Elephas maximus indicus: one gene and its partners. The protein of the gene in region 2 interacts with the protein of the main gene of each other region in a pairwise test. Links are inferred from orthologs where the notes say so. Each region holds a gene or a part of one and is shown on either strand. Other genes may lie near its edges.

Region 1 (8,193 bases), on a different chromosome or scaffold from region 2:
ATAGTAACTGTACTTGCTACAGCAAACTTGGGAGACCTGGGAGCCGCTGTGGAGGGCAGAGGCCAGAGGAGGGAGTATGGTCTGCCAGGGGATCTGGGACAGGCTGGTCACCTGGGCAGGCCTGGGCCATCACAGCAAGGCCAGCGGTGGGGACAGGGCTCCTGAGCCCCTCAGAACCTGCTGGACTCAGGGTTGCCCTGGCCTGGATAGACTCGCTCATCAGATCGCAATCCCAAAACCTTGATGTGACTCACAAAGCAAGCCTCTTCCACCCTCCGCTCCCCAGGCTGAAATGGGGCTGTGCCATTCCAAGGGGAAGGGTTGGCTCCAGCCTCACCCCAGAGGAGAGGCGTTTCCCTGTGGTGGTGAAGAGGTGTCCACCAGGAGCCCACTTGTCACAGTCACAGCCAAGCAGTGAGTGGGCTGAGGCGGGCCTTGGGGCCCAGGGCGGTCAGTCAGCAGCTGCACTCGGCTCAGGCGTCAGTCTGTATCATGCCGTCTCCGGGCCTGGGGGCTCCTCCCGCTGCATACGCCATGTCCCCACTTCCTCCTTTTGCAGCAGGGGGAGGAGTGGTCGCTGGCCGAGGAACCTGAGTCATGCTGGCGGCTGTGCCTAGGGGAGGGCCAGGGGATGGCCCGGTGAGGGGCTGTGCACCAGGGCCAGCACAGCAACCAGTCCACCAAACCCTCGGCCCAGCCAGGCTGGGAGAAGGTGCCTGTGCTGACTGCTGTGGGCACCATGCAGCTCCCAGGCACAGCCGGACCCTCGGCCCAGTCAGGCTGCGAGAAGATGGTGTCTGTGCCGACCACTGTGGGCACCATGTGGCCCCCAGGCACAAAGAAGGTCTCCATGCTGCCGTGTGACTGTGGGCATGCCACGACCCCGTCCTCTGCAGCCTGACCCTTGTTCTAGGGGCCCCCCACCCCTCACAAGACCTCTGCTGACAGCTGGGCCTACCTAGCAGGAGACGGGGACATGGAAGAAGCAGCCACCTCTGTCTTGTGGTGCTTTTCTTTCTTCTTCTCTTTCTTGTGTTTCTTCTTTTTCTTCTTCTTCTTCTTTTCTTTCTTGCTTTTCTTGTGGCTCTCAGAGCTGCAAGAGGGGCACAAGACCCCTCAGCCCTAGCCCTAGCCCTTGCTTCCACAGCTCTGCTCTGTGCCAGGCGGGAGGGGGCCCGGTGAACAGCAGTGGGTGAGACAGAGCCCTCCAGAACAGGGCTGCCACAGGGAGAGGGGCCTACACCTGTGCTGTCCACAAAGTTAACCACTGCCCATGTGTGGCTACTTTGATTTAAATTAACTAAGTGAACCAAACCCAGTGCTGTCCAGTCGATTCCGACTCATAGCGACCCTATAGGACAGAGTAGAACTACACCATAGAGTTTCCAAAGAGCGCCTGGCGGATTTGAATTCCAACCCTTTGGTTAGCAGCTGTAGCACTTAACCACTACGCCACCAGGGTTTCCAACTAAGTGAAAGCAATGAGAAATTCAGTGCCTTGGTCATACCGGCCACATTTCAAGTTCTCAAGTCTCCATGAACAGCAGCTCCACTGTGGACAGTGCAGGCAGGAACATACCCGTCATGGCACAGTACACTGGCCCACTAAGTATAGCCCTGGGCACCCTCACCCCACTCCGCATCCCACACACACCCAGCCCCCCTTCCAAGCTGCCTGAGTGCAGGTCTGCTGACCACCCTGTGCAGCCCGGCCCGGCACTGCCTGGCACACAGCAGGCACGAGAGTGCAGCCTGGCAGTACAGGGCCTTCACTACCACCTGGCCTCAAACCTGCCTTCAGCCTGTCTCCACTGCACTCTCTACATGGACTCTGAGCATCTTGCTGCCACACACGACTCCTTGCCGGACCTATGGGCCCTTTCTCACCTCTGGGCTGGGTGCACGGGCCCTCCCTGGCCAGGACTCAGCCTCGGCCCTCGTGCCAGAGTGGCCACCTGACTCTGCTGGAGCTGGAGGGCCGTTCCAGGACCACACTGAGTATGCCTGCAACTTGACCTTCTCATCCGGGAACAACTCAGAGGGTTCCCAAGATGACAAAATAGGAGGCAACGAGAAAACATGGGAAGGGGCAAAAGCCACGTCCTCCACTCTACCGCAAGCAGGCAGCCTGCCCATCTGGCTCAGAATTTCCTAGCAACCAGATGTGCGAAGAGAAACTTCAATTCTGTGCTACTCAAACTTCTGCTCTGGAGCCTCTGGGGTGTGGCTTAAAGTGGCCTGGCCCCAAATATGGAAATTCTTAAAATTAAATTTTAAGTATGAAATTAAACCCAGCATCCCGCAGTGTGGGTATGCTGCCTGTGGACCCTGCGTAAGCGAGGCCCTTACCACGGCTCCGCCTTCTCCTCAGAGTGCAGCTTCTTTCTGGCTGAGGCTGGGGAGGTCTCTGCCCCACTGCTCTCCACTCGTTGGTGCTGCCAAGGGAAGCCAGTGCCACAGGTGAGGACTCAGGAGAAGGCCTGGACAACCCTGAGATGCTTCCAGGCCATCCAAGCCCAGGTTTCTCAAGTCAGGAGACTGGGAATGCCCCCAGAGAGGAGAGGACCCTGCCTCAGGCCCACAGCACCAGGGGAAGCCAGGCCCCTCCCATCTTGCCAGCATGGGCTCCTGGTGTGTTCTGGGGGAGGGGACATTACTGTGAACACCGACAGCCCCAGCTTGGCAGCCTCCTTGTCTTCTCTGGACAACACCACTCGGCCGGCGGAGCCACTGTAAGAACACACGAGGAGGGAATGCGTCTGTGGGAAGAAGGCCGAGCTGCGCCCCAGTCAGGAGGCCCTGCAGCCCTGCTGCACTTGCTTCACCTGGGCACCTGGCAGGGCCCACGGGGAGGAGCCCTGCCCTCGATTTCTCTGGGACTTGCGGATCCCTGACATCTCCCTCAGGTCCTTAATCTGCAAGTCCCAGTCCTGACAGACCCCGTCGCCAGGAGGACCCCTAAGAGTTCACCCCTGTCCCCGCACCTGGAGCTCCCCAGCCCCAGGAGCCGGTCCACACCCTTGTCCTCAGGGTCTGCTCCTTCCCGCTTACAGATCTCGACAAAGTCCTGTGGGGAGAGAAAGGCAAGGTCCTCGCAGGCCCCAGAGCCGCCTCCCACCCCGCCCAGGCCACCCTGCCGACCTCAGACCCGACACTGCCCGAACCTCCCTCGGCCCGGGGCCCCTCGGCCCGTTACCTCCTTGCTCAGGCCTGTGGGCTGTTTCTTCACATTCTTGTAGCCTCTGCAACGGGGCCAAGGCACGCTTCAGGAGGGGCCGGTCCCCCATCCCACCCCGGGCCTCCCAGCCCTCGGGGCGCCTGCACCCTCGGCCCGCACGGCCACTCACAGGGCTGCCATGAGGGCCTCCTGCTCCGCCTGCCGCACGGCCGCCAGCTCCTCCTCGCGGCTCAGCCCCACCGGGCCGGCGCGGTCCTTGGCGTACCAGGTGAGGTCCCGGCCCTTCTGCCACCGGCCCACGGGGGCCATCAGCGAGTTCCCCAGGTAGTTCTCCCGCTGCTTGTCGGTTTTCACGTCTTCCCAGTTGAACTGGTCCTGGCCGCCGCGGACGCCGCCTCGACTGGAGCCGAACATGGTGCCGGCGGCTGCTGCGGGCGACGGGAGGACAGAGAGGTCCGCGCTTGGCCAGTCCCTCCAAGCCCCAGGCCAAGTCCAAGGCCGCCCAGCCCGCGCTCGCCCAGCCCGCCCGGGCCCGCCGCCCGCCCTCACTGGCCGCCGCGGCAGCTCCTGCGAGCGTACGCCCCCGCGCCGCGCGCGGTGACGCCATCCGCACCGCCGTCGGCTCCGCCCCTCGCGTCGCGCGCGGCGACGTCATCACCCGCGCCAGGTCCCGCCCCCAGCGCCAGGGGGCAGCTCGGCTGTTCTGTGTACGCACGGCGCTGGGGTCTTTCTCCCCGCTGCGGGGGTTAGAACCGCTAGCCTTTCCGTTAGCAGCCGAGCGCTTAACTGTTGTGTCACCACGGCTGCGTGAAGATTACAGCCAAGAAAATCCTGTGAAGCAGTTCTGCTCTGTAGCATGGGGTGGCCGGGAGGCTTGACCGCCAGCTAATAACACAAAAATTGTATTTCAGAATCTGATCCCTAAGATGCCAAAATGACAGCGATATAAGTTTTTTTAACGTGAAAAAGGTGAAAACAGTGACAGAAGGTAATAAGAAAAAAACACTGCCGCTTAGTCGATTCTAACTCATAGCGACCCTGTAGGACAGAGCAGGACTATCCCATAGGGTTTCCAAGGGTGTATTCGTTACAGAAGCAGACTGCCACATCTAATCTGGTGGACAGCCCATCTCTGGAGAAAAATCATCGTGCTATTCAAAGGAAGAAATAATCTTGGACGTCCAGATGGCTGGAATAAAAAGCAAGCATTTATGCTTACAGAAATACATCAGCGGCTTGAAATCCAATAAGGTAAATTAGGCCGTAAGAATTGTGCAACCATTCAGCATTTAAGAGTGACAGGGAAAAGCGTGTGGCATTTACCTGGTAACTCCAAATGGCAGTAGGCACTAGGCAGGTTCTCTGCGAACAAAGAGGTAAGGAATATTTTGTTTCTAAAACCCATGCTAAAGTTCAAGATTTGTAAAATAAATGGTTCAATTCCCAGTTTAGCGTATAAACTAAATAAAATACTGATGCTACCATAGAAGTTTTTAATACGGTTCATGGTTTAGTAAAACATAATAGGCTTTACCTGGCATTGAGGGGCAATAAGATTTCAAGAGAACTGGAAAGGTCAGCTGTTCAGTAGAGCAAGAGTAACAGGACAAATCACAAGAATTAAGATGAAGATAATTAAAGGTATCATAGAAGGGAACGGCAGACGTGGTACTTGAACCACCAGGCATTTCGTGACTACACTCCAGTGCCCAGTTCGGCCAGTGCCTGCCTCCGCCAGTCAGCTTATTTGTTGCTTTAAAAGAGCTGGTATCCACCACAGTGGATTATGGTTTCAGTACACTATGGTTTACCATCAATTACTGTGGCTTTAATAATGAATATTCAAAAACAAACCTCATTGTATTTTGTTCTGATGGGGCAATGCTGAGAAGAAAATCTGAAGTAACTACAAAGCTGTTGGAAAATATTCCTAAAAATCTTCATTTGGAACTGTAAAATCATTAGTTGCAACTGTCAACAGCAGAATGAAAACAATCATTTAAAAATATTTCTGTGTAAAACATCTCATTGATCACCATAGTTTAACGGTAGGTGACATATGAGATTCAATGATAACACATTTAGGGGATTAGGACGCTACTTTATTTGCCAAATTGTGGTGGAATTAAAACCATAGGTTGGCTGTGTATACAAGAGTTTGGTGACAACCAACAAAAGTATTCTGAGAATCAGGTAGTTGTACGGAATTTACGGTAACGAGTATCGTTGCGTCGTTGCTATTTGTAAACTGTGTGCTGCACGTCCTTGGTATCAGTAAGTGCAGAGTACGCTGTGCACCTAGACACATGCAGACATCCACGCCCATCCATCCACATGCGCACAACCTACTCCTGCCCCTTGTCAGTCATTAAACATTTGTGGGTTTCCCAGTGAGTCCCGGTCATTACGCCACCAATTAATCAGGAGCTTGATGGGCTCAGAAAACCATGGTGGCACAGTGGTTAAGCGCTACGGCTGCTAACCAAAGGGTTGGCAGTTCAAATCCGCCAGGCGCTCCTTGGGAACTCAACGGGGCAGTTCTCTACTCTGTCCTATAGGGTCGCTATGAGTCAGAATCAACTCGACGGCACTGGGTGATGGACTCAGTTGTGCAATTTGTGACATCACAGGCACAATAAGGCTGGGGAAGGAATGTGCAGTTATGAGAGGCTACCAGACTGTTTCACCCTGCTCCAAGCCGCCCTTCCTACTTCTCTGGCCTCACCTTCTCAGACATCCTTGCTTGCCCTTTAATTTTGGGGTCTCCCTGTGTAATACAGTAAGAGTTAGAGATACTGATGGTCCGCCTTGTACTACTGCCAGATCACCTTTGGGCCTTTGTTTCCTCATGCGTGGCCCAGAGAAAGCCAACTCTCCCCTAAGCTGTTCTCCTGATATGCCACTATGCCACTGTCCCTGGCGGCCCTTTCCACTCTGGTGGCATCAGACAAGTCCCTGCAACAGCAGACCTGCCCCGGGGCCTCTCCACCTTCAACACCATGTATCTAATACCACCGGCATGCCCCTCTCCAAGGCTCCCGTTCAGACAGCATCACTGCCCGCCGGTGTGGAAGCCCTGACTGTCCCTCTCCCGGCTCACCTATTGCCACCCCTTCCTCTCGAGTGGCCTGTCTGCAGCACAGTTGGACCTGGTCATATTCGTCTGAGCCGCTGGAATTGACTCATGCTGTCAGATGTCAGCAGTGGTAACCCTGGGGTCAGAGGGGCAGGAGGACAGGGGTGTGAGGTGCTGCCATGCACTGGCTCTGTTCACTGTGTGAACGACTGGAGAGCTGACATGCAGGATTGGTCCACTTGGCTTATTTCCTATACATGTAAATACATCTTTTCTTGCATTATATTCAATAATGTTATATGAAAAATAGGTACCCAGCGGATTCCAACAAGCCCAGTTTTTGCACTCAGGGCCCAGGTCAGTTCGACATGTGCAGCCTCAGCCCCTTTTTCTTTCATTCACTCATTCGTTCATTCAGTGAATGCCTATTGAGCACCTCTCATGCACTGTGCCAGGTGCTGGAGACACACCACACGTGTAAATACATACTGTCACCCAGGGGATAAGAAGTGCTGTGGACCAAGTCTGAGCAGAGAGCTGGAAGGGAGGACGGGGAGCCAGCAGGCAGGAAGAGGATTGCACGCAGAGGCTACAGTGAGAAACAGCAAGGATGCTTGGTGGTAAGGTGATGGTGCAGGACCCAAGGCCATAGCAGGGACTAGGGCTTTCCTCCAGAGTGAGAGGGAACAGGAGTACGTGGTGACCCACAGGGAAAGGCTCCTGCTGGCAGGCGTGAAGAACATGCTGGAGGCATTGGATGGAAGCAAGGAGCCTGGGGAGGAGGCCACCTTGGTGGGCCCCGGGTGACAGTGCAGAAGACCAGACAGCAGGAGTGGATGTGAGCAGGGCTGTGGTGGGCCCCAGGTGACAGCAGGGAAGACCAGGGGCAGGCATGGATGTGGAACCGGGCTGTGGTGGGCCCCGGTTGACAGGTACGAAGACCAGGGGCAGGCGTGGATGTGGAACAGGGCTGTGGTGGGCCTCGGGTGACACTGGGGAAGACCAGGGGTAGGCGTGGATATGGGGTAGGGCTGTGGCAGGCACTGGACGTATCATGAAGGCAGAGCTGTAGGGTTTGAAAATGGATAATGGACAAGATGTGGGGTGTGCCGAAGGTCTAGGTTTGCTGGTAGACAGATGTGGGATGACAGCCAAGGATGGTTCCCCTGCAGTGGGCTGAGCCGCTGTGAGGATGAGCTGCCCCTGATGAGAAGGGACTCAGGGCAGACCAGTGAGCCAGAGGTGGCCTCTACCTCCTCGAAGAGGTGCTGAGCGGGGAAGGGTGCAAGGCGGGGGCCCAGGCTGCAGATGCACATTTGGGAGTTGCCAGTGCAGAGAGCTTTAGAAGCTCAGAGACTGGGTAAGATAACCGAGGGGCTGCCCTGTGGAGATGAGGGCTGCGAACTGACCTTTGGGCTGAGCAATGCGGAGGTTGCCTGTGACCCTGGCAAGAGCAGTGTCAGAGGGATTGGGCTGAAAGTCTGAAGAAAGCAGCAGGACAGCAAGTGGACACAGCCCATGTAGAGTCTGGCTGCAAAGGTCAGGGATGGAGATGGTCAGGGAGCCCTGCCGACACTGAGACGGGGACTCGCTGCAGTGAGGGGTCTGAGAGGCCCATTATGGGGACAAAAGCTGTGGCTATTGGTGTGTCTCCTCATGGAGGCGATGGAGGAACAGGAGGGTTGGGAAGAGGTAGAGTGGTGAAAGCAGCAGCCTCGTCAGATGGCAAGTGAGCAGCTTGTTGGCTGGGCACTCTCCTCAGCCACCTTCTACACGTGGCCACCTCGCGGGAAGGCAGCTACATTCAGGCACAGCAGACCGCAGGGCAACCTCTGACAGATGGCCATCTCCACGTCCCAGCCATGCCAGTGGCCTGTGAGGCTCTCCAGGTCTGCAAGCAGCCTGAGGGCCAGGGCTCAGCCAGGCCCAAGACACCAGC
Region 2 (8,682 bases):
CTCTGTCGGACTGCAGCCCTGGCCTTCAGAGGGCCCACTTCCTCCAGCACTGTCATGGTCAGTGAGAGGAGCCTGGGGTCTTATGATGTCATGACTGCATGATATCTGAGAGAAGACCGCTCGTCTCTCAAACCTGACCAAGGGCAAAGCACCTTGAGAGGAATCTGCTTGGGAAATCCCAGAAGGGAAGACGCAGGGAGGGAAGGAGACCAGAGCACATCTCACTCATCCTAGCCCCAGCCAGTATAGGGGCAGGGCCCCAGTCTTACCTGCAGGCCAGGTGTTGCCGCACGTCCTCTGTCCTCCAGCAACTGCTGAGAGTATTCTTCCCCCCAGCAAGGTGGTGGCTCTTGTTGTCCCAGCTGGAGTTCCTGCTGGCTAATTGCTAGCTAAGAGCAGGGTGGTGCCCGCCCCTGATCAGCTGACTCATGGTAGAATGGCTGGCCACCCAGGAAAGGCAGAAGGGGTTTGACCTTTCTCTCAATTTGGAGGTGGGGTTAGTGCACGTAGCTATTGCTGAGACAGGTATGTACCAAGACTTCTTGGTCTTTTTTTTTTTTCGTGTGTTTTTAGTGAAAGTTTACACAGAAATTAGGTTCTCATTTAACAGTTTCTATACATATTGTTCAGTGACGTTTGTTATATTCTTCACAATAGATCAGCATCCTCATTTCCATTTTGCTTGTCATGTTTCCATTAATCTAGCCGCCCTGCCCCTCCCTTTGCCTTCTCATCTTGGTCCGGGTAAATGTTCACCATGTGGTTTCATCTAAACGATTGTTTTGAGAAGCACAGTACACATCGGTGATATTACGTATTTTATGGGCCAGTCTGTCATTTGAGTGAAAGATGACTTTTGGGAGTGGTTTGAGTTCCAAGTTTAAAGGGCATTTCTGGGTGATCCTCTCGAGGGTTCATCTATATCAATCCTTTCCATCTTGATTTTTTTTTTTTTTTAATGTAAGTGTTGTTTTCTTGAGGAGATCCAGACTTGAGTTGAAGACCAGTCTTGCTGAGAGTGGGGAAGGTGGTTAGGTGACAGGTATCCAGGGGTCTTTAAAGTGACCGTAACATGTGACCTGGCATTTCTTCTTCCACAAACCCATCTCCATGTTCCCTATAGTAGAAAAAAATCTGGAAATCCCAAACATCCATCACCAGGGTCCAGTTAAAGAAGTCATTATCTAGGACAATCCCACAGCTGTTAAAGTTGTTTAAGGAAGAAGCCTTGAGGAGATGTTCCCGAGTACTGTTAACTGACTGAAGAGTCCGTACTGGGAGTCTGGCCTTGTGTTTTGTTTTCCTTTTTTGAAAAGCGGATGTGCACTGAAACCAGTCTGGGGGAGTCTGCTGTAAAATGCTGAGGCAGTGGGGTTGTCGGTGGGGTTTCCAGTTTGTACTTTTGTGTGTGTTCCCAAGTGGTGGTGGTGTTGAAGTTAATTTGTGTATTGCTTTGATTGCTTATCATTTTTGTAATGAGTAGGGGGAGAAATTAAACTGGACTGCTTTTTAAAGGAATTTAGATTGCTTCTCTCCAGGGAGGCAACCTAAGGGGCTGTGTACTGGCGTAAGGAGATTTTTTATAGCACACTTTCTCAAATTTTGAAAAATAAAAAATTTGAATATATTATTTATCCCACAAATAGTTCCATAAAATTAACCAGAAAAGGGAGAGGGATTTCATTTAGACCCTGGTGGGGTGGGTTAGATAAGGTGCCTGTCACACTTGGTGCCTTGGGGAGGGACTAGGGAAACGTATGCTGGTCAGTCCTGTGAGGAGTGACACAGGCCACCCGCCCAGGGTGGGGTAAGTTTCAGGGCTGTTCACCTGGCTGGGCCTGGCAGGCCCACGTCACTGTCCCCATGACGAGCTTGGGCAGAATTACACTCGCCTGGGGCGTCAGATCCTGACCGGGGCCCAGCTGGTTGTCAGCCCCATGGAGGAGGGACACTGTCTTTGCTCTGAGGAGCTCACAGCTGAGAGCCCCACACACGAAACAACAGGAGCCACGACACACAACAGGAGGTTGCCACTAGCAGCACCGACTGCCCACAGAGCACCATGAGCCTGCCGGCAGCAGCTTTAAAGGTACCATCCCTGCCAAGTAGGTGTGATTAGCACCAGTCCTACAGGTGGAGAAACTGAGGCACAGAGAGGCAAAGTCCCTCTCTCAAGTTACACAGCTGGAAAATGGCCCCAAGGCCATGTTTTGTCTGCTGTGAGACAGATGCTACTTCCAAAAGCTGAGGCACGGGACACGCCTGAGGGACAAAGGCAAATGGGCCTGAAGCCTGAGGTAGGTCCAGGGCTTCGAACTGGTTCATTTTGGTTCAAATCCCTGCTGAGAATTTGCATTCCCACCGTAGATATACTGAATGAGAATCTACATTTTAGCAAGATCCCCAGGTGATTTTTACGTATAATAAATTTTGAGAACCGCTGCTCTACTAGTGGTTCTCAGAGTTGGTCCCTAGCCAGCAGCGTTAGCATTGCCTAGAAACTTATTAGAAATGCAAATTCTCAGCAGGGGTTCTGACTGGAAGGAACTGGTTTGAAGCCCTGGGTAGACCATGGGTGATGGACCCACCTTAGGCCAAGTCTCCAAGGCCAAAGCAAAGAAGGAAATAGAGAACCTAATGGAACCAAGTGGCCCCCTTGCCCCATCTCAGTTCATAGAGCCATGGGCTGGAAGGGCCTTTAGAGAAAATGGAGAAGGAAATGTAGGCCCAGAGGGGATAAGGGACTTGCCTGTGGAACTGACCCAAGTCCCCCAACTCTCACCTACATGCCAGGGCTATCTTTCTATTCTGTGGTTTTTATAGCTACGGCCCATCTCTTTGACTTCTCTCATCACTCCAGCCACCAAGAAACATCTTTCATTGCACATGCCCTTGCTCAGAAGTCTTTAATGGCTCCCTACTGCTTCAGGGCCAATACTAAACTCCTAGACCTGACCTTTGAGGCCTCTGTGGTCCACCCCTTTATTACCTCTTCAACCTTGTCCCTCTAACATCTCTACCCCTGCCAGGCCAGAGTCCTCCCTACTCCTACCCCACCTCGTACCCACAGCACACGCATTCCTGACTCCACCTTTGCCTGGGCTGCTGCCTCCCCTGAGGTGCGTTTCCTCATCCCTACCCCACCAAGTCCACTGGGCTCCCCTTCCAAGGAGCCTCCTTGATCATTCCCATCCATGGGACCTCTCCCGCTTCTGTGTTCTGGATCAGACTGTCCCATTCCTTTCTTTGATACAGCCATCTTGTATTGTTCATGTGTACATTAGGCTAATTGTTACACCCTAAGTTCCTTAAAAAAAAAAAAGTTCCTTACCATCCAAAAAAAACCCAGTTGCCATTGAGTCAATTCCAACTCATGGTGACCCCATGTGTGTACACAGAGCTGCGCTCCGTAGGGATTTCAGTGGCTGAGACCTTTTGGAAGCGGATCACCAGGCCTTTCTTCCGAGTGCTTCTGGGTAGGTTAGAACCTTCATTGGAACCTTCAACCTTTTGGTTAGTAGTCAAGCGCTTAACCATTTGTACCACCCAGGGACGTCTATAGTGGCTAAAAAAAAAAAAAAAAAAATTTTTTTTTTTTTTTAGCCTATTTCCAAAATAAAAATTGGAGCCCGTGCTCTGGGCAGGACATATTCTGCTTTGTTACTTATCTGTGGAACAGCCTTCAAAAGTCTAAAACATGAGTGGCCACCATACAACATACACTCAGAAACTCCCTAACAGCACCCATGACAGACCTGAGTATCCACCCAACATTACTTGCTGCTGGGCCCTGAGGTGGCCCAGAATCCTCTCACAATAATGCCACAGGCAGCTGCTGCCACCTGGAGTCAGCCCGTGCTATGAAATCTCTGTGCCATCTCGAATGGTTCCCCCCAGCAGGGCAGGGCCTTGGGTTTACCATGTATCCCTAGGACCTAGATCCGTGACCGGCACATGTAGGCTCTCAGTAATGTCTATTGAATGAATGCCTCTGCTAGAAGAGTCCATCATAGTTATAAATGTAATGGATAGCTGCCACTGAGTTGGCTTCGACTCCTGGCCACTCTGTGTACAACAGATAAGTAACAAAGCAGTAACAGAGCAAAATTGTGCCTGGTCCTGCATCATCTTCACAGTCATTGGCAAGTTTAAGGCCATCGTTGCAGCTACTGTGCCAATCCATCTCACCGAGGGTCTCCCCCACCCTTGCTGGTCCTCTACATCACCCAACATGATGTCCTCCTCCAGTGATTGATCCCTCCTGATGACATGTCCAAAGTAAGCTCACCCTTATGTAAAAGCTGGGCTAGGCTGTGGTGGTAGGCAGAGCAGAGTTCCAGATCTGTGACATTCCACAAGTTTGGGAACCTCTCTGAGCTTCAGTTTCCAGACCTCCACAGGGGACGGCTGCTACCTGATGTACGGGCTTGTCCTGGAGGTTAAACGAATGAATCACGTAAAGCACCTAAGACACAGCTGGTGCTCGATAATGTTTCTGACGTCCTCATACTATCAGTCTTGGCTACAAGTTACAGAAACGCAATTCATCTGTTTGATGTGAAAGTGGGGGTGCTCTTACCGGAAGAAGGTGGAATGGCTGCTGAGCAGAGAGACACCAGCTATACACTCCAACCCCCTGCGTGGAACCTGGACCAGGAGCAAGTCCAGGGCTGTGTCAGACAGCTGCATCCGGACCACAGGATAATAACAGGAAGAGCCCCATTTATCGGGCCCCTGATGCCTGCTGGGCTCTGCGGGGCAATGGGCACAGCCTGACCCGTCTGTTGTTCCCAGCTGGCCCTGGAATCAGACAGAAGCATCTTGCCCGAGTCCACACAGCCCCGGAGTGGTAGAGCCGACCTGGCTGTGGACTGATCGGAGTGTCTGGGCTCTCGGACTCTTTCCCATCCCCCTCTAGCGGAGTCCCAGAGATTTCCCAGGGTGGCAGCGAAGGCCCTGATGAGCCAAAATCAGAAGCCAGGGAGCTGGGACCCCACACTCCCACAGACTCATGTCCCTGGCCCGGAAGCACAGGCACTCGCCAGAGACCCCATACCATAAGAGGACTTTGTGCCACCCCATAGTATCCCAAAGCAATATTCTGAAGGGGAGGCAGCGTAGAGCCTGGGCTGCGGAGTCTCACCTGCCTGGGCCCAAATCCCCACACATAGGCCATGTGACCTTGGGCAAGCGACTTTCCTGCCCTGGGCCTCAGTTTCCTCACCTGTGAAAGGAGGAAAGTAATTTCACCTGGATCATGGGAATACTCACTAAATGTGAACTATTATTCTTACAACGGGCATTGTTCAAGTGGCAAAAAAAATCTGTTACTGCTGTGATCCAAGAGCAAACGGATAGAAATCGCCTGCTCCTTTCTGGGACGTACATCCTAGTTGGGCTGTTCCTGAGGGAGTCTGTAAATCTCCCAGCCACAGAGATGCTGCCCTGAGGAGAGACCCCCGTGATGTAGTGGTCATCAGCCAGCCCCTCACCACCTCCGTCCTCCTCCCCCTCGGAGCCTGTGCTTCTCCAGGTGTGGTTGTCCCGGCCGCCTGCAGCAGAGGCCCCTGGGGGACATGCTAAAAATGCAGATTCAGGGTCCCACCCTACACTTGTTGTATCCAGCTGTCTGGGAGTGGGGCCCAAGAACCTGCATTTGACTTGCCTCTGCAAATGATTCTGATGCAAACTGCAGTGTGAGAACAACTGCCCAGCTCCTCCTTCCAGACCCACTTTCTTGAATCAAATGCCTGCAAGGTGCTAGGCATGGGGCAAGAGGCTTTCCTCGTTTACCTTGTTTAATACTCAAAACATACCCAAAAGATGGTTGTGTTATCCCATGGGACAGATGAGAAACTGAGGCTCAAAGACTTAAGCTCTGTGTCCAAGATCACGCAGCTGGTAACCCATGGAAGCGGGATTCGAACCCAGAACCTGCCTGCTTTCTCCTGTGCAAATGTGTAATCTCCCCTAAATGTGGCCTGTGCCCCCCTCATTAGTCCAAGGCCTGGGTCTAGTTTTGGAATTCCGTGGTGAAAGTTGGTTGCTCCAGCCAGAATTTTTGGTCACGGGCATGGAGAAGCATGTAAACACCTGGGAGCAATGTGGGGTGAGAGGTCATCAGTTCAGAGGACACCCCTACAAGGAGTGTCTCAGCATCCAGGCCTGGGGAGGGTTCAGCCAGGGTTTGTGGCTGTGGGTCACTCAAGCAGGGAGCCCCCAGAGCCTGGGAGAGTCAGACAACCTGGCCTGGAGGCTTGGAGGCCCAGGTAGACACTGGTCATCCTGCTGACGCTCCAGGCTCTGGTCATGGCCTGCAGAGCTCTGTCCCAGGTGGCTCCAGGCCCTCCAGAATGGGTTGGGTCTCTGCCTGATTGGGTCATGGCTTCCTGCAAAGATTGGGCTGTGATTGGTGGAGCATGGGTCATGTGTGCAGGCCCTCACTGCAAAGCATGCTGGTAAAGCGAGCATTTGGCTTTAAGGGCTACTCTACTGGGAGCCTCTGGTGGAGGATTCCCCAGACATGAGAAGCGGGTTCAAAAACAGAGCAGCCAGTAAGAGTGGCAAATGTCCACTCTGACCAGGAATGGGTGGTGGAAGACCAGTTGCTGAGGGCCTACTATGTGCCAGGCATGGCCCCAGGTGATTGACATCTGTTAGTTTCAATCCCTACCTACAATAATAATGCCCAGTTTACAGATGAGAAAGCCGAGGCCCAGGGTCACACTGACAGTGAGTGGTAGGTTACAGAGTTGAACCCCAACCTGTCAGACTCCGGAGCCAGAGTTCCTGGCCACCATGACACACTTCACTGCACTTAGTTCCGGTGACTGGGACTTGCCCACACCACCAGACAGGCCACTTTCCTGTCCCCTGCCTCCTGCACACCTCCCAGGACAGAGCAGAACGACCTCTCAGGGCCCCGGGAGAGAAGCAGGGCAGCTATTATTACCACATTTTATAGAAGAAGCTGAAGTTCAGAGCGGGGAGGGACTTGTCTGGGGCTGGGATCTTCCCCTCCCCCCAGCTTCTCTCACCCACCCACCTGCTCTGCACCCCAATCTTGGCTGCTCTTTTTTTTTTTTAAATAATTTTTATTGTGCTTTAAGTGAAAGTTTACAAATCAAGTCATTCTGTCACATATAAGCTTATACACACCTTACTACATACTCCCATTTACTCTCCCCCTAATGAGTCTTTAATGAGTCAGCCCGCTCCCTTCTTCCAGTCTCTCCTTTCGTGACCGTTTTGCCAGTTTCTAACCCTCTCTACCATCCCATCTCCCCTTCAGACAGGAGATGCCAATACAGTCTCAAGTGTCCACCTGATACAAGTAGCTCACTCTTCATCAGCATCTCTCTCCAGCCCATTGTCCAGTCCCTTCCATGTCTGATGAGTTGTCTTCGGGAATGGTTCCTGTTCTGGGCCAGCAGAAGGTTTGGGGACCATGACTGCCGGGATTCTTCTAGTCTCAGTCAGACCATTAAGTCTGGTCTTTTTATGAGAATTTGGGGTCTATCCCACTGTTCTCCTGCTCCCTCAGGGGTTCTCTGTTGTGTCCCTGTCAGGGCAGTCATCAGTTGTAGCCGGGCACCATCTAGTTCTTCTGGTCTCATGATGATGTAAGTCTCTAGTTCATGTGGCCCTTTCTGTCTTGGGCTCGTAGTTATTGTGTGACCTTGGTGTTCTTCATTCTCCTTTGATCCAGATGGGTTGATACCAATTGATGCATCTTAGATGGCCGCTTGTTAGCATTTAAGACCTCAGATGCCACACTTCAAAGTGGGATGCAGAATGTTTTCATAATAGAGTTTATTATGCCAATTGACTTAGAAATCCCCTTAGGCCATAGTCCCCAAACCCCCGCCCTTGCTCCGCTGACCTTTGAAGCATTCAGTTTATCCCGGAAACTTCTTTGCTTTTGGTCCAGTCCAGTTGAGCTGACCTTCCCTGTATTGAATATTGTCCTTCCCTTCACCTAAAGTAGTTCTTATCTACTAACTAATCAGTAAATAACCCTCTCCCACCCTCCCTCCCTCCCCCGTCTCGTAACCGCAAAAGAATGTGTTCTTCTCAGTTTATACTCTTTCTCAAGAACTTATAATAGTGGTCTTATACAGTATTTGTCCTTTTGCATCTGACTAATTTCACTCAGCATAATGCCTTCCAGGTTCCTCCATGTTATGAAATGTTTCACAGATTCGTCACTGTTCTTTATCGATGCGTAGTATTCCATTGGGTGAATGTACCATAATTTATTTAACCATTCATCTACTGATGGACACCTTGGTTGCTTCCATTGGCTGCTCTTTTGAAGGCTGCTTGAAGAACCAGGTGGGAACCCACCCCACCTGGTAGCTTTGCCTGACAGAGAGCCAGCTTCATCTGTTCCTCCTGGGCTTCACTCTCCCTATCTGTTAAATGAGAATCATGACTGGCAATAGCAATCTGGTCCTGGCTAAGAGGGTTCTACACCAGCCTCTGTCAGAGCTTCCTATCAAGTGTCTGCTCCGTTGGGCCTCAGTCTCCATATTCGCCCTGGGAGGGTTTGGATGAAGTATTTCTGAGGTCCCCAGCTGTGCTATCTAAGACCTAACAAAGGGACAACTCAGCACCCCAGCCCACCCACTCCCAGCCCCTGCTGGGCCCAGACACCACAGATGTCCAGATTGGGCACCTGGT
Region 3 (6,023 bases), on a different chromosome or scaffold from region 2:
ACAGCACACATGTGAGAAAAAAGGCAAATAGAACTGAACATAAGGCCAGATTTACTTTGAAGTTAAGCAGGAAAGGCAATGTGGAGCAGTGGGCAGACTTGGGACTGGAGATCAAGAGTCCTACCTCCAAGCTCTGGCACTTCTACTGCCTGGATACAGTTTCTTAGATAAGGCTCTTCACTTCCCACCCTCACAAGAGCAGGGCAAGGTGGCCTCTGAGGAACATCTCTTGCCACCATTCTTGTGATGTATTTCCCATCTGGCACCCACCCATTCTCTCTGCTCCCGAAATACAGGAGCTGTTCATGGAAAGTCTGCTTGGGTACACTGTCAGAAAGGATGGGAGAGGAGCCTAGTGTAAAAATGGGAAAGAACCCCAACAAATCTTCAGGCAGAACCCAGACCATCCTCAGAGCCAAGATGGTCTCTGTGTTTCCAAGAACTGGATGGGAAAGGGCAAATGGAGTTGAAGTACCTCCTTCATTTTCCTCTGAAAACCACCCTTTGGCCTTGGTCTCTGGCCTCTCTTTATTCCCTGCTGGAGACACCAGATGGGTCCTGAGCTAAGAGAGCTCCGCCCTCAGTGAGGCCCCTCTCTCTGCAGCTTTCTCCTTCTCCAGCCTGTCCCTGAGCCCTCTTGGCCTGCCCAAGCTGCAGCAGCAGCAACAACAGTATAGAAGACAGGGCGTGCATGTGAACAGGGTAGAAGGTCTCCACTTCCCAGCAGAGGTCAACATCTGGAGAGACTTAGATTTCAGAGAGGGATTGAGACTGAGTCATCGACATGTGTAAGGACTGTCAGCAACTTTTCAATGTTCCCTCTTAATGAGCCCCAATTCCCAGCCGGCTGGAAAGATCCAGCCCTGTGAAGACTTCCATTGGACTCCCCAGGAAAACTGATGGAGCAAGTTTGAAATGGGGAGGTGAGATGGGACCCAAATAGAGGTTTGACTTCCAGAGCAGTAACACCCTAAGCCTGTCCCTCCCTAACCTAAGAAAGGGGCCAGTGGGAGTACTGGCACCCAAGGCGTTCCCTGCGGTGCCATTTCGTCCATCCTTCTAGAAGATAAAAACACCATTCTGTCCATCTGCCTGTCTCCAGGCAAGATAATTCTCAGCCCCAAGAGAGAAAGGGTGATTGCTTCTTTTCTAAAAAAGCTAGAAATTCAGTTACGTCTCTCCATGTTCCAACAGCTATCAGAAAAATATCCACTTCCTTTCGTCAAGAGAACCACAAGCTAATAGAGAAACCAAGGTGTGGAGGAAGCAGGTTTATTGGGCCATCTCTACTACTGGGTTATTTGAAGTAGCTGAAGCCGTTGGGTGGCACAGACAGTTAACCACTCCGCTACTAACCAAATTCACCCAGTTCAAATTCACCCAGAGGAGCTTCAGAAGAAAGCTGCTGATCTACTTCTAAAAGGTCACAGCCTTGAAAACCCTACAGAGAGCAATTCTACTCTGCATAATGGAGTTGCCATGAGTCGGAATCGACTTGACAGCAACCGGTGACTGGTTAATGCAGCCTTTCTGTGCCTCAGTTTCCTCATCCAAAAAAAGAGAGAAAGAGGAGAAAACGAGAGAGTCAGAAGGCCTAGTTCAGGGTCCCCTAAAAGTCGAGAATGAGCTCACTGTGCTCTGTCTAAATTGCAGCTGGCTCATGCCACACAGGGGCAGAAACGGAAAGAGAAACAGACAGCAATGCCCAACACTCAATCCCGTTCTGTCCTCGCTGCAGGAGGTCTGATACAGAAGCCAACCCAAACACCCCCCCAAAACCCCACCCTTGTCTGCCCTGCAAATCACCTCCTCTCTCCACCCCTCACAATGGGCTTTCTCAGCATATGTGTCTGAAACAGAGCTACTCCTTAACTAGTGGCGTCACTAGGGTTGGCGTCACCCAGTGCGGTAACGCATGGTATTACTCCCCCCTCTCATGCTAATCACCACAATACTGTAGCTAAAACACCAGAAAATCTCACAAAATCAGCGACTATAAAAACATTGGAGTAACAAAAACAACAGCATGTGCTTGTAGCGTGTACAGAGAAAATCACATGATTTGAAGCGTCATTGCAGTTGGGTAATAATGACAGCTCTGACCAGAGCACATTAGAAAGCTCAAAAAGTAAATGAGCATAGAATTTTAGCCTTGTAGGTATATTGATACATGTAAGCTGGGCTTATGGGAAAAAATTTTGTTGTTATAACTAAATACAGGAATATTTTATAAAAAATAATAAATTTTTGCTAAACACTGCACAAAAATTTTATAGTCATTTTTGTGTCACCCCCCGACAGTCACCTGGTCTGGTCCACACCGCCTGCACCCGCTATTGACGCTACTGTCCTTAACCCTATGCAAGGCGGGGGGGGCTTTTTTTTGTTTCTTCATCAGTTCTCAAGTCTGGCTGATTTCTTCTCTGTGATCTCAGCTTCAACTTGGCAGAGCAGGTCTTTTAGGGGTGGGAAGGATTGGGGAGAGAGAAATATTATCCCATCTCTAAAACCATCCAGAAATGTCTCTTAAAAGCCAAAGAGGCCAGTTTCTCGGCAAGTTTTTTGGCTATCAGACTCAGGCATGAGAGGAGAGCACAAAGCACCAGAGGGCCTATTCTGGAGTGTTATGGATTGAACTATGTCCCCCCAAAAATATGTGTATTGTTTTGGCTGGGCCATGATTCCCGGTATTGTGTGATTTTCCTATATGTTGTAAATCCTGCCTCTAAGATATTAATGAGGGAGGATGGGAGGAAGTTGTGTTAGTGAGGCAGGACTCAGTCTATAAGACTGGATTGTGTCTTGAGGCAATTTCTTGAGATATAAAAGAGCGAAGCGAGCAGAGAGACAGGGGGACCTCATACCACCAAGAAAGCAATGTGGGGAGCAGAACGAGTCCTTTGGACCCGGAGTCCCTGCGCAGACAGGCTCCTAGTCTGGAGGAAGATTGATGAGAAGGCTGACAGAGAGAGAAAGCTTTCCCCTGGAGCTGACACCCGGAGTTTGAACTTTGAGCCTACTTTACTGTGAGAAAATAAACTTCTCTTTGTTAAAGCCATCTGCTTGTGGTATTTCTGTTATAGCAGCGCTACATAACTAAGACATGGAGATAATGTCTTTTTTTTCTCTTTCCTGCTTAGATACTCTCCCACTTCGTGTGCAGAGCGGTCCTGATGTGCTAGACTATCTGTCCTTATAATACTAAAGCAGCTGGAATGAACAAATGCTTACTGGTCACCTCCTATGGATTGTGCTAGCACCTGTGGGGAATGAAGTAGGAATAAAAGACACAGTCCCTGACTGCAAGGAGGCTCCTGCAAAAGTCAGATAATCTCAGAGATCACCTAACCCAACTTGCTTACTTAAGAAATAAGGAGCTAAAGTCTGAAGAAGTGATGTTTGTGGTGCATCAGATTTAGAAACAAGAAGCTCAGCCTCCTGCCTGGGGAGATGAGACACACACATGAAATAGCAATGGAAGGTTCCAGACAGTTTAGCACAATTGGGGTTGGTTATATAGACGTTGAAGTCCCTGGGTGGCACCAACAGTTAAGTGTTCATCTACTAACTAAAGGTTGGTGGTTCGAACCCACCCAGAGGCTCCTCAGAAGAAAGACTGTGATCTGTTTCCAAAAGGTCACAGCCTTTGAAAAGCCCTATGGAGCAGTTCTACTTTGACACACATAGGGCTAAATAAGTCAGAAATGACTAGACCGCAACTGGTTGATGGTATCCAGACTTTGAGGCCAATTATAATATTGGGAAAATGAACTTTAAGCAAATTTCAATTTCAAAGGACAACGAAAATTTGAAAAGCTCAGGAAGCCTTCCTTGGAGAGGAGGAGTAAAATGGGAAGGAACAGGAGATTTTATTTTGGCATTTCCTGGAGACAAGTCTTAATAGAAGCATACTTCTGTTATCTCCAAATGCTATACGAGAGACTTAAACACACATATATGCACATGCTCAATGACCGTTAAATTTCCTACAGGTAGGAGATAGGTACTTGATCAGCCTCTTGCACTCCTCAGATGCCTGGTACAGGGCTGGGATTTGTTGCTCAGTAACACTTGTCTGAAGGGAGAGCCTCATCTAACATAAAAAGGGCCTCAAAATTGAGAGTAGGCCTGGCCTGCATTAAAGGGCCACCTTATTTCACATATATGACCAAAGTGTAACAAAGGCTAGTGACCTCACCATGGAGCCCCACCCTCCTGCTAAGCCACGCCTCCTCACAGTCACAATGGCTAAGGCCTTAAATACCCAGACTCCTGGCCTCTGGCTTTGCAAAGCCCCTCATTTTGGCAGAAATTACAATGTCGACCAGCCGCAAATTAAAGAGTCATGGCATGAGGAGGGGCAAGAATCGATCTCCCCACAAGGGGGTCAAGAGAGGTAGCAGCAAAAGGAAATACCGGAAGGGCAGCCTGAAGAGTAGAAAAAGAGGCGATGATGGTGAGTGAGGGATAAGTAGGGGCACAAGCAAACAAGATGCTTGTTGTTCCAGGGATCTTCCTTCCTGGGGTTAGTCCTCCTATGACCCTGAAGTCTCTTCATCTGGGCATGAAAGGTATTTCATTTCTAATCAGTGGTCCCTGTTGCAAATCTGTCCTTCCCCACAGCCAATCGCAATTACCGCTCTCACTTGTGATCCCACCAGTGGGCTCTGCCCTGGTGGACGGCAAACACCACCAGGCAGCAGTGAGAAGACAGCAGAGGGGGACTGCCAAGGAGACCTGCTGGAGTTCAATCAAAGCCAGTGAAGATCCTATCGCACGGGGGTAAAATGCCAGCTGTGATGAAATGAGGAATGTATATGTTGGCTGTTTCTCCCCAACATCTCAATAAAATTTTGAAAGCTGGAAAGTTTACTTTGATCTTTTGGTTGGAAAGCTGGGGTTCCTGAGCTAGAGAGACTTGCATGTTAAATGACTTGGAGAATATCAAAGTACTTTGTCCTTACTACTCCCTCCCATTGTACCTCAACTCCATATTTAGGTCTTTGTTTCCCTCGCCAACAAGGAAAAGGGAGAAGAGATTAAGTGCCAATTATGAGATTCTTGTCAAAGGGCGTATAGTACGGGGAGAGACACCAAACTATGTGGTAAGCAGTGGAGAACACTCAATAGAACCACTAATGATTGCATAGGCTCGGTTGGCTGGCTGAGATGGGGAGACAAGGCCATGATGATAGAGACAGGCTTTAGGGGCTTTAGTTCATTTTGGTAGTTATGTTGGTATTATAGATTTTTTTTTTTTAATATAACACTTTCTACTAATACTTTTTCTACTAATTCTTTCTCCTAATACTTTCTTTTCTGCTACTCAAATTCAAAACCAGATAATTTGACTCTGATGCCCTAAATGAACTCTAGCCAGGTGTGCTGGAAGTAAGCACAATCTGGGTGAACCTTATTGATCACCAGGTCTATTGCTGGCTCCACTCATTTAGAAAATTCCTAAGCTCTCCCATATCTTAACCTGGGTTGTGATATGGCTGATAGTCTCAGGCCACATTAACTGACACTTCCACTCAGCATTCACCCACTCAGACAGGGGGACATTTTTCTTAATGACTACTTCCTGTTGCTATGCTGAAGCAGTACACCAGCATAGCACAGGTGGAATTGAGCTTGAGACATGAAGAGACATGAATGGGAACATGAAGCAACATGAATGGGAACATGAAGCAACAGTGAGGGTGTGAGAGGCATGGTACCGGGAGCAGACCAAGGGCAGAGGAGACTATCTGACTCCCTGGTATGTCTGAGTACCAGGGAGGTGCCCCTGTGGGGCAGATTCTAGCAGTTCAACGGAAAAGAATGTTCATTTCAGCTGAGCTTTTACTTGAAGTGAAGGTTGCTTAGTCCTAATGTACTCTCCAGAGCCATTTTCCTTTAAGGTAACCAAACTTGTATAACCAAACTTGTATTTCCAGAGCCATTTTCCTTTCAGGTTTGTATGAAATTCTCAGACACTTCAGAACAAAACTTGTATTTCCCTCCCAAAGTATTTCCTCATC
Region 4 (8,070 bases), on a different chromosome or scaffold from region 2:
TGCCTTGTCCCCATCCAGGGGGGAAGAGCTGCAGGGCACCCTGGGAATGTCTGAGCCCAGGGGAGCCAGGGACTAGTCTCTGAGCTAGTGGAGAGGTGGGCCCAGGGTCTCAGGCTGCCTCCTCCTCCTTGCTCTCCTCTTCGCTTTCATGATACTGTCTGCGGTTGGTGTTAACAAAGAGGTCAGAATCGTCTTCAGAGCTGGACTCGTCTCCTGATGACTGGGGCTCAGCTGGGAGTTCTGGCTGAGTCTGTCTGCATGGGAGAAGAGAGTTAGCCCAATGCCTTCTGGGAAAACCAGATCTGCAACCAAGGGGCCCCACAAAAAGAAGGATCATTTGGCCAAGCAGTCAGGGCCCTACAGGCCTGCCAAAATTCAACAACCCCTTAAAGACTAAAATGAGGCACAGAATCAGAGCAGTTGAAAACTTGGCCAAAGAAACAGGCTGAAGACTGCCAGCCACCCCCAACTTTACTAGACCCACTCATTTTAGTTAAGAACAACGATTCTACCACCACCAACTAACACTCCTTGAGCCCACATCACATACCACACTAAGCAGTTTTATAAGCACTAAGCTCCCATTTTGTTGAGAAGACAGGTGAGAATTGAGAGATTAAGTAAATTGCTTAATAGCACTCTGCTCTAAATGGCAAAAACCAAGATTCGAACCTGATCAATCTTCTAATCCACCCTTACACACACGTGTTATATCACATATTAAAGAACCCTTACCAGAAACCCTGTGTAGTGACAAAGGAAAGCCTGACACCAGGGCTTGGACCCCTACTTTCTGTCTTCCCTCTTGTGACGTAATGAATTACTTCATGTAGCCCTTCTACCCATGATGTTTATAACTCACACATAAAGACAGTGAATCCATGCAAATAAAATATATGGAACCAATGATGGTCAGAGTTATGTGTCAACTTGGCTAAGCCATGATTCCCAGTATTGTATGGTTGTCCTCCATCTTAAGTGTCGTGGATGCTGACCTCTACATGTTTACGAGACAGGACTGGAGTGTCTCTGGTTGCAGCCTTGCAGGAGGGCGTGACTCAAGTCCCACCCTTACTCAAGCTACCACCTTCCCTAGGGTGTCACCTGCATCTAAGGTGTATATGTAGATGCCCTGGTGGGGCTCTCTATCTGGATCCAGCGTCCAGTTTGTGATCGACTGACTCCCAGTTCTTCAGACTCAAGCCTGGTGATTCTGAGATTCGCCAGCCTCTATAGCCCCACGGGCCTGCAGCCTATCATCTGACTTGATTCACCAGCTTCTACAGCCTTGTGAGCCAAAAGCCTGTGGTCTGAAATGCTGGTTTGGGTTCATCAGCCCCTATAGCCATGTGAGTTGGGAGAACCCTATGCCTGACCCGTGGATTTGGAACCTGCCAGTCTCCATAACCACATGAGTCACTTCCTTTATACAGGTTTTTGACTTCTGTGAGATGTTGCAGTAAACTAGGGAACCCAAAAACTGGAAAAAGAGAACTGACAAAAAAAAAAGTAAATGACATTAGAAAAAACGGACTAGGACAGCAGTTTAGAAAAGTTAGACACTTGGGGCATCTTTAGTCTCTGCCTCAGAGGAACCAGCTTTGTACTGATCCTTATGTAAGAAATTATTCGTCTACTTATCTCAAAGCTTGTTCCTCACCTGTTCCTGCTGTTGTTGTGTTTCTCAGCCACTTCAGAGAAGGCCTCAGGCCTGCGCCAAAAGAAAAAACAGGGTCAGAGAAAACTAATAAGTCTCTTGGCAAAAGCACTGTTTCCAGCAGTCTCTGCCTGGGATGCCATGATCTTCCCTTCCCCAATTACAAGGATACAAAGTCCATCCGCCCAGAGGCCAGGGAGCCAACAATGAAGGGGAGCGCCCTACCAGAGCCCCTCCTTCTGCAGAGAGCGCACGTGGTCCTTGCAGAGCACAAAGGAGATCTCCGCCTTCACCTTCTCTCCCTCCTCAATGGGGTCAACGATGAGGAAGTCCCCTGTAGGGAAACAGGAGGAAAGACCAGGTCAGTCCTGGTGCAGGCAGGAAGCCAAGGCCATGGTAAATGGTTGTCTCCGAGGGGACCCCCCCTCACCTCGCTTGATCCAGATGTTCTTTCGGTACTTGGAGGGCATGCTCACCAGGAAGCGTTGCCCCTGGGCCGTCTCCACCTCATGCAGATTGTTCCCTGGGGTCCTGAGTACCTGGTTCAGGGGCAAGGGAGAACCAGTCTGTCTCATCATCAGATCAAGGGCCCTCTGAGCTGCACCACACCCTACCTGGACCCCAGAGGTCCAATGGGGGTGGGAAATAGAGCAAATTGTGCCCCATGCCACTCACCCTCACAATCTGCTGCTGGTCTGAGGGCACCATGTGCTCCCCCAGCAACTCCTTCACCACATGCTTCCTCTTGGTGGCCTGAGACATGCTGGGTTCCGTCCTCGGGCGTGAGGGACGCAGAGACTGTCAACTTCTCCTGAGTTCCTCGGAATGCAGGCTCAGAGCCCAGGACTGTTTTGTAAATGGGAATGGCCTCTTACTGAAGAGCGAGCCACACAGTGTCCTGGTTAAGAACATGGGCTCCGAAGGCTAACTGCCTGGACTCAAATCCTACCTTGACTACTTCTCAGCTGTTCAACCTTTTTAGGGCTTGCTGAACAAAACAAAACACCTAACTCGGAGCACTGTTAACAGTATGAGACAATGTAAGTTACGCACTTGGCACACTGAAATGCCGTAAGCGCTCAAAAACGCTCTTGTTATCGTAAATATCTGAGAAATTATAATTATACAACTATACGTACTTTTACTTTTTTACATACTCTAAAACCGTTTCTTCAAGTACAAAACTGTAACTTCGACAAGCTTGGACGTCACAAGTCTAGCACAGCCACGGCAACACAGAAGCTCAGTTTATAATCTCTCCACACACTACACGCAGAGGCTAATTAGGAGCCCACCGCGATGGTCCAAGCCAGTAACCAAGAGTGATGGTTTCCAAAGTCTAAAGCGTCACCCCTAACTGCCACCCCCTGCCCTCCTCTCTCCCCTACCCCAGGAAACCACACTCACCTTCCGGCCCTCGACTCTCCCACGGGCGCTAGCCGAGCGACCCCGCTCTACAGGTCGGACGCTGAGAGCGGCTCCTCCACGACTCACTTCGCAGAAGAGCCAACGAAGGCACGGAAAAGGGATTTTCTGGCGGTCACGATGGTGGCGCTGGCCCCGACTCAGCTCTTCGGTGCTCTGGGGTCCCTCCCGATTCCTACCAGCCCGACAGCGCTACGAACAAGGCCAGGCTCAGTCAGACCCGTCCGAGAACTGTACTTCCGGCGCGCTCTCGGAAGCCACACGGCTACTCTTCCCCCCCCCCCCCGCCACTTTGTCCGTCCCTCTAACTCTTCCCACCGCCAGGTCGGCCGGGGCTAAGTCCTTGAGTTCCGGGGCCGGGCAGCCGGGAAGGGAAGTTTTCTCCTCCGCGGCCTCTGCTCCGAGACCGGAAGGGCCGCCTGAGAAGTGAGACCATAGAAGGCAGCCCGCTTCCCGCGAAGCTACCGGAAAAGAGCGCCCCTAAGGGCGCGGTCGAGGACCGAAATGCCTCATCTCTATGGCGCTTAGAGGCTAGAAGTGCCCAACTTGGGTTTTAGAAGACGGCTCTTGAGGCGAGCCGGAAGCGGAAGTCGAAGAAAGTTCTAGTTGTTGGGGTAGCGGCGGGAGCGGCCGGGTGGCGAGAGGAGCCGTTACGTGTGAGTTGCCAGTGAGCGCGAGCTGCGGAGCAGGGCCCGGCGAGAGGCTAGAGGAGGCGCGGGACAGCAGGGAGGAGAGAGGTCACGAAAGCGCGGTGGGAGGCTAAGGGTGAGCCCCCCGAGAGGAGTCCGCCCGCCGCGTGGAGGAGGCGGGGCGCGGCGTTGCGCTGCGCGTGGGAACGCGGCGCGTGCAGGGGCGGGGCGGCAGGAGCGAGCGCGGCTGGAAGCCAGCGCGACCCGGCCGGCGGGAAGACGGCTCCGGGCGCTCTCTGCCTGTGCCTTCGCTCCGTAAGCAGCCGTGGCGTGCGGGTGGAGCACAGAGACCATTCGTCTGCTTTTCAGACCAGGTGGCCTCTTAGCCGGGGTCAGCTTTTGCCCAGCGAAGGTCACAGAGGGAGTGACAGCCGCGGGGCGTGCCCTGGCTACTGACTCTGGGAATCTTCCCATTTGCCAGCGCTCTGCCACCTGTTAGGGCAGGAGAGTTTTCCCTCTCCAAACCAAAACCAAAACCCGGCTTCTGCAGGAAGTAAAAGAGTTCTCTTTTGCGTGCAGGAGGTCCCCGATCTACGACGGGGTTCGTTCTGCTGACTCCGTCCTAAATCGGTTCTGATGGAAGTTGGATACCTGTTTTTTTTTTTTTTAATTCTTTTTAAGTTTTTGTGTTTTGAACAGTAAAATCATAAAATTGCACAACTGCGAGTGAACACCCGGGAATGATAACAGCACAATTTACCTGTGGGAGCTTTGTAGTACATATTATTGATGTTAAAATATATATTTTTAAAAAATAAGGAAAGATTGTAAGTGCAGTTCGTGGTAATGGGATTGCATTCTAAGTCGGAGACTATCCTTGTGGAGAAAAGACTCTCCCCGGGTCTCAGTTTTCTCATCTGTGAAATGAAGGGGATTCAGTAAGCTACCCTACTGGCTGGCCTAGCTCCCTTGTCATATGGGACTACTAGTGGCCTCTAGGGAGTTTCCAGGTCTTCAGCCCTAACCTGCTTTTTGTTGGGATTCCCAGATTAAGCCTGATCAAGATGACAACTTCCCAAAAGCACCGAGACTTCGTGGCAGAGCCCATGGGGGAAAAGCCAGTGGGGAGCCTGGCCGGGATTGGTGAAGTCCTGGGCAAGAAGCTGGAGGAAAGGGGCTTTGACAAGGTGTGGGGTGGCCGCATGTTGCCTGGGGGGGCTGGAGGTGGGAGTCCATTTATTTTCTGGCAGATGGAGTGAGGAAAGTGAATGTACTTGTTGGGGGGTGGAGAGTGGAGTATAATTTAAGAGACAGCTGAAGTTGGTCACCTGGTGGAGGTGAAGCAGGCAAACTCATTCTGCCTCCTGGGCTTATGTGCTTTGAATACCTCAAAGGTGGCTTTCTTAACCCCACAATGCACTTTGTGGCATGCCCTTTGCTTTGCCTGTTTTGCAGGCGTATGTGGTCCTTGGCCAGTTTCTGGTACTAAAGAAGGATGAAGACCTCTTCCGGGAATGGCTCAAGGACACGTGCGGCGCCAATGCCAAGCAGTCTCGGGACTGCTTTGGGTGCCTTCGAGAGTGGTGCGACGCCTTCTTGTGATGCTGTCTTGGGAGCCCCCAGTCCCCAGCCCTGAGTCTCCAGAGTTTGCAGCTGAGTGGCGACTCCTCCCCTGTCCTCTACAAGGAAAAGATTGCTGTTGTCAGGCTCACCTCCAACGTGCTCCAGAATCTTTTAGGAGTTTTGTCCCATCACCATTTCAACTTTTTTGGAATTCTCACTTTTGCATGAATTCCCCATCCTCCTCCTCCCTCTGCCAGTTCCATGGCGATAGTTACCAGCTTTCCTGAGTGGATTCTTGGCCCCTTCCTTCACTCTCACCCTCACATCTGGTCTGTTTTTATGCCATTTGGCTCTTTTTTGGCAGAATAGTCACTGTCCTTGTAAAGTTTTTTAAATCAATAAAGTCAGTGGCCTTCAGGTTTGGGCTTTGTGTGTTGAGAAGTGGGCTGGGAGTGGCCTCTTCCTTGGGGACCCAGCAGGCATCCTGTGCTCCTTATCAGCACAGACCGAAACTTGCCTTCCCACTCCCAGAGGGCAGCCACCCCAGCCTTGTGGGCCTCGGCAGGTGCCGTGGAGTGTCTCAATCAATGTGGGAGAGAGTGCAGGCTGATCCTTTCCTGGGAGCCAGACTGGCTCTGGCTCCCCATGGTGGAATCAACAGCCGGACCAAGCAGCACCTGGTGGAAAAGTCAGTGGGAGTCAGGTGGTCGGAAGAAGGTGGGCCAGATGTGGGTGTGAGCTCACTTGTGGTCATGTCCTTCCCTAGCCTCCAGGAGAAGTGGGCAGTGCTCTTGCCATCTGCGTGCTGTCTGCAGGGCGGCGGGGAGGGGCACGTAGTGTGAATATTACAGCCAGGAGAGAGTGAGTTACACTTTTATTCAGTATATTTAATTCCTGTCCTTTGTCGAACATTTAGTACATATCAGAAACTGTGGTGGCGTAGTGGTTAAGTGCTACAGTGCTAACCAAAAGGTCAGCAGTTCAAATCCACTAGGCGCTCCTTGGAAACTATGGGGCAGCTCTCCTCTGTCCTGTAGGGTCGCTATGAGTTGGAATTGACTCGACAGTGGGTTTGGTTTTTTTTTTTTTTTGGTTTAGTATATACCAGGTTCAAAGCTAAGATCCTCACAAGTATTTATTTTTTCACAACGATCATTAATTGTTTTCTACAGATGAGGAAATCTGGTTAAGAGAGGTTTTTTTGTCTGTGGACTTGCTACTACGAAGTAGCCAGACTGGAACTCCAGCTTGAAAACCTGTGTACCTGGGAACATTGTGGTTCTCAGTCATGTTGCTTGGCTTCTCTGAGCCTCAACTTCCGCACTTAGAAAATGGGGTGATTGTGAGAATCTAATGAAACGCTAGCACTACTGTGTAGTGCTTGGCCCTGCTTGGCATTCAGCACCATTGGGGAGCTACTTGCTTGCATTATAAATAAAATTATTCCTCATAGGGCTTGTAGTCTGGGGAGGAGAGAATGATAGTTATTAAAGACAAGTACAAAAACATAATATGAGATGTTTATGATCTCAGAGTAGAGATGAATTTCTAAAAGAAGAAAAAGTTGATAAATTCAACTCCATTAGAAACTTCTGTTCATCAGCCAGCCAACCAGTTGCTGTCAAGTTGATTCCAACTCATGGCAACCTCGTGTTAGAGCAGAACTGTGCTCCATAGAATTTTGTTGTCGATTTGTGACTTGGGAGACCCCATGTGTCACAGAGTAGAACTGTTCCGTAGAGTTTTCTTGGCTGTAATCTTTACTGAAGCAGATCGCTAGGCCTGTTTCTTCTGCGGTGCCATGGAGTGGGTTTAAACCACCAACCTTTTGGTTACCAGCCGAGTACAAACCATCTGCACCACCGAAGGACCGTCTGTGTAAGATTTCAATGGCAGCTTTTTCAGAAGTAGGTTGCCAAGGCTTTTCTTCCAGGGTACCTCTGGGTGGACTCAAACCTTCAACCTTTCAGTTAGCAGCCGAGCACATTAACTGCACCAGCCAGGGACTTTCTGTTCATCAAAAGATACAGTAAAAGCTGAGTACTGAGCTTAATCAATTGCATTGATTAAGGTAGGATTACACAGTTGATTAACGTAATTGCTGTCAATAAGTTGAATTGGCAGAAGTGTAATAGATAATATTTACAACAATGACAAAAAGAAAAAGAGTAGCTACCGAGGCAGCTTACGTACAACCAGACACCTCATGGGATTCAGTTCTTTGCCTGGAGGTTTAGGGTCATAGTTTCATGGGATGTCACAGTTAATTGGCTTAATGATGCGTTCAGTGCTTCTGTTTTACCTCATTCATCGCATAGTCCCTGGGGTCTTAAAAGCTTGCAAGTGGCCATCCAAGGCACAGTAATTGGTCTCTGCCTGGAGCAACAGAGGAAGGTGGAGAGTCAGGAACAGGAGGAGGAAATGGAATGTGTGGCTAATTACCTCCTTGAACAGTTGCCTCCTTTGCTGTGAACTGGGTGGTGCCCAGCTACCACTACTGAACATTTGGGTCAAAGATTCTTTAGAAGAATCCTGAGCAAAAGGGGAAAATGCAGAACGGAATTTCAAATTCTTACGGAACCCAGATTTTCTGGAGCCATGGAGGCTGGATGAACCCTGAAACTATTGCCCTAAGACAATCTTTAAGCCTTAAACCAAAAATATTGATACAGTTTAACGATAATTTATTTTAACTAGTAAAGGTCTGCCTTGAGCATTACGTTCTTTTAAGATCTGTCTATATGAAATCAAATTGACAACAGCGACTCAAAAGATGAGATAGGAACCTCGGGGTAG

Evidence for each region.
Region 1: the proteins of SDCBP2 (region 2) and C2H1orf35 interact in binary tests that used the Homo sapiens proteins (3 or more experiments, as listed by UniProt). The two-hybrid records come from large-scale screens. The link is inferred for Elephas maximus indicus from reciprocal best matches to the Homo sapiens genes SDCBP2 and C1orf35.
Region 3: the proteins of SDCBP2 (region 2) and TNP1 interact in binary tests that used the Homo sapiens proteins (3 or more experiments, as listed by UniProt). The two-hybrid records come from large-scale screens. The link is inferred for Elephas maximus indicus from reciprocal best matches to the Homo sapiens genes SDCBP2 and TNP1.
Region 4: the proteins of SDCBP2 (region 2) and EIF1AD interact in a two-hybrid assay, tested with the Homo sapiens proteins (3 studies listed by BioGRID and IntAct). The two-hybrid records come from large-scale screens. The link is inferred for Elephas maximus indicus from reciprocal best matches to the Homo sapiens genes SDCBP2 and EIF1AD.

The regions. Positions count from the first base shown.
Region 1 is NC_064820.1:232,585,364-232,593,556, reverse strand, and holds the start of C2H1orf35 (multiple myeloma tumor-associated protein 2), read right to left. Parts: upstream 3,795-8,193; 5' UTR 3,786-3,794; coding exon 3,728-3,785; intron 3,607-3,727; coding exon 3,348-3,606; intron 3,243-3,347; coding exon 3,197-3,242; intron 3,068-3,196; coding exon 2,985-3,067; intron 2,731-2,984; coding exon 2,658-2,730; intron 2,436-2,657; coding exon 2,350-2,435; intron 1,094-2,349; coding exon 959-1,093; intron 614-958; coding exon 481-613; 3' UTR 1-480.
Region 2 is NC_064843.1:39,398,783-39,407,464, forward strand, and holds the start of SDCBP2 (syntenin-2), read right to left. Parts: upstream 3,390-8,682; 5' UTR 3,332-3,389; intron 358-3,331; exon of another isoform or gene 270-357; intron 1-269.
Region 3 is NC_064824.1:115,320,916-115,326,938, reverse strand, and holds TNP1 (spermatid nuclear transition protein 1), read left to right. Parts: upstream 1-4,317; coding exon 4,318-4,456; intron 4,457-4,623; coding exon 4,624-4,652; downstream 4,653-6,023. UniProt on the Homo sapiens protein: Plays a key role in the replacement of histones to protamine in the elongating spermatids of mammals.
Region 4 is NC_064825.1:129,139,994-129,148,063, forward strand, and holds the start of EIF1AD (probable RNA-binding protein EIF1AD), read right to left. Parts: upstream 3,357-8,070; 5' UTR 3,065-3,356; intron 2,504-3,064; 5' UTR 2,420-2,503; coding exon 2,333-2,419; intron 2,197-2,332; coding exon 2,088-2,196; intron 1,992-2,087; coding exon 1,883-1,991; intron 1,712-1,882; coding exon 1,661-1,711; intron 255-1,660; coding exon 110-254; 3' UTR 1-109. Other genes in the region: BANF1 (barrier-to-autointegration factor), read left to right, coding at 4,776-4,898, 5,167-5,313.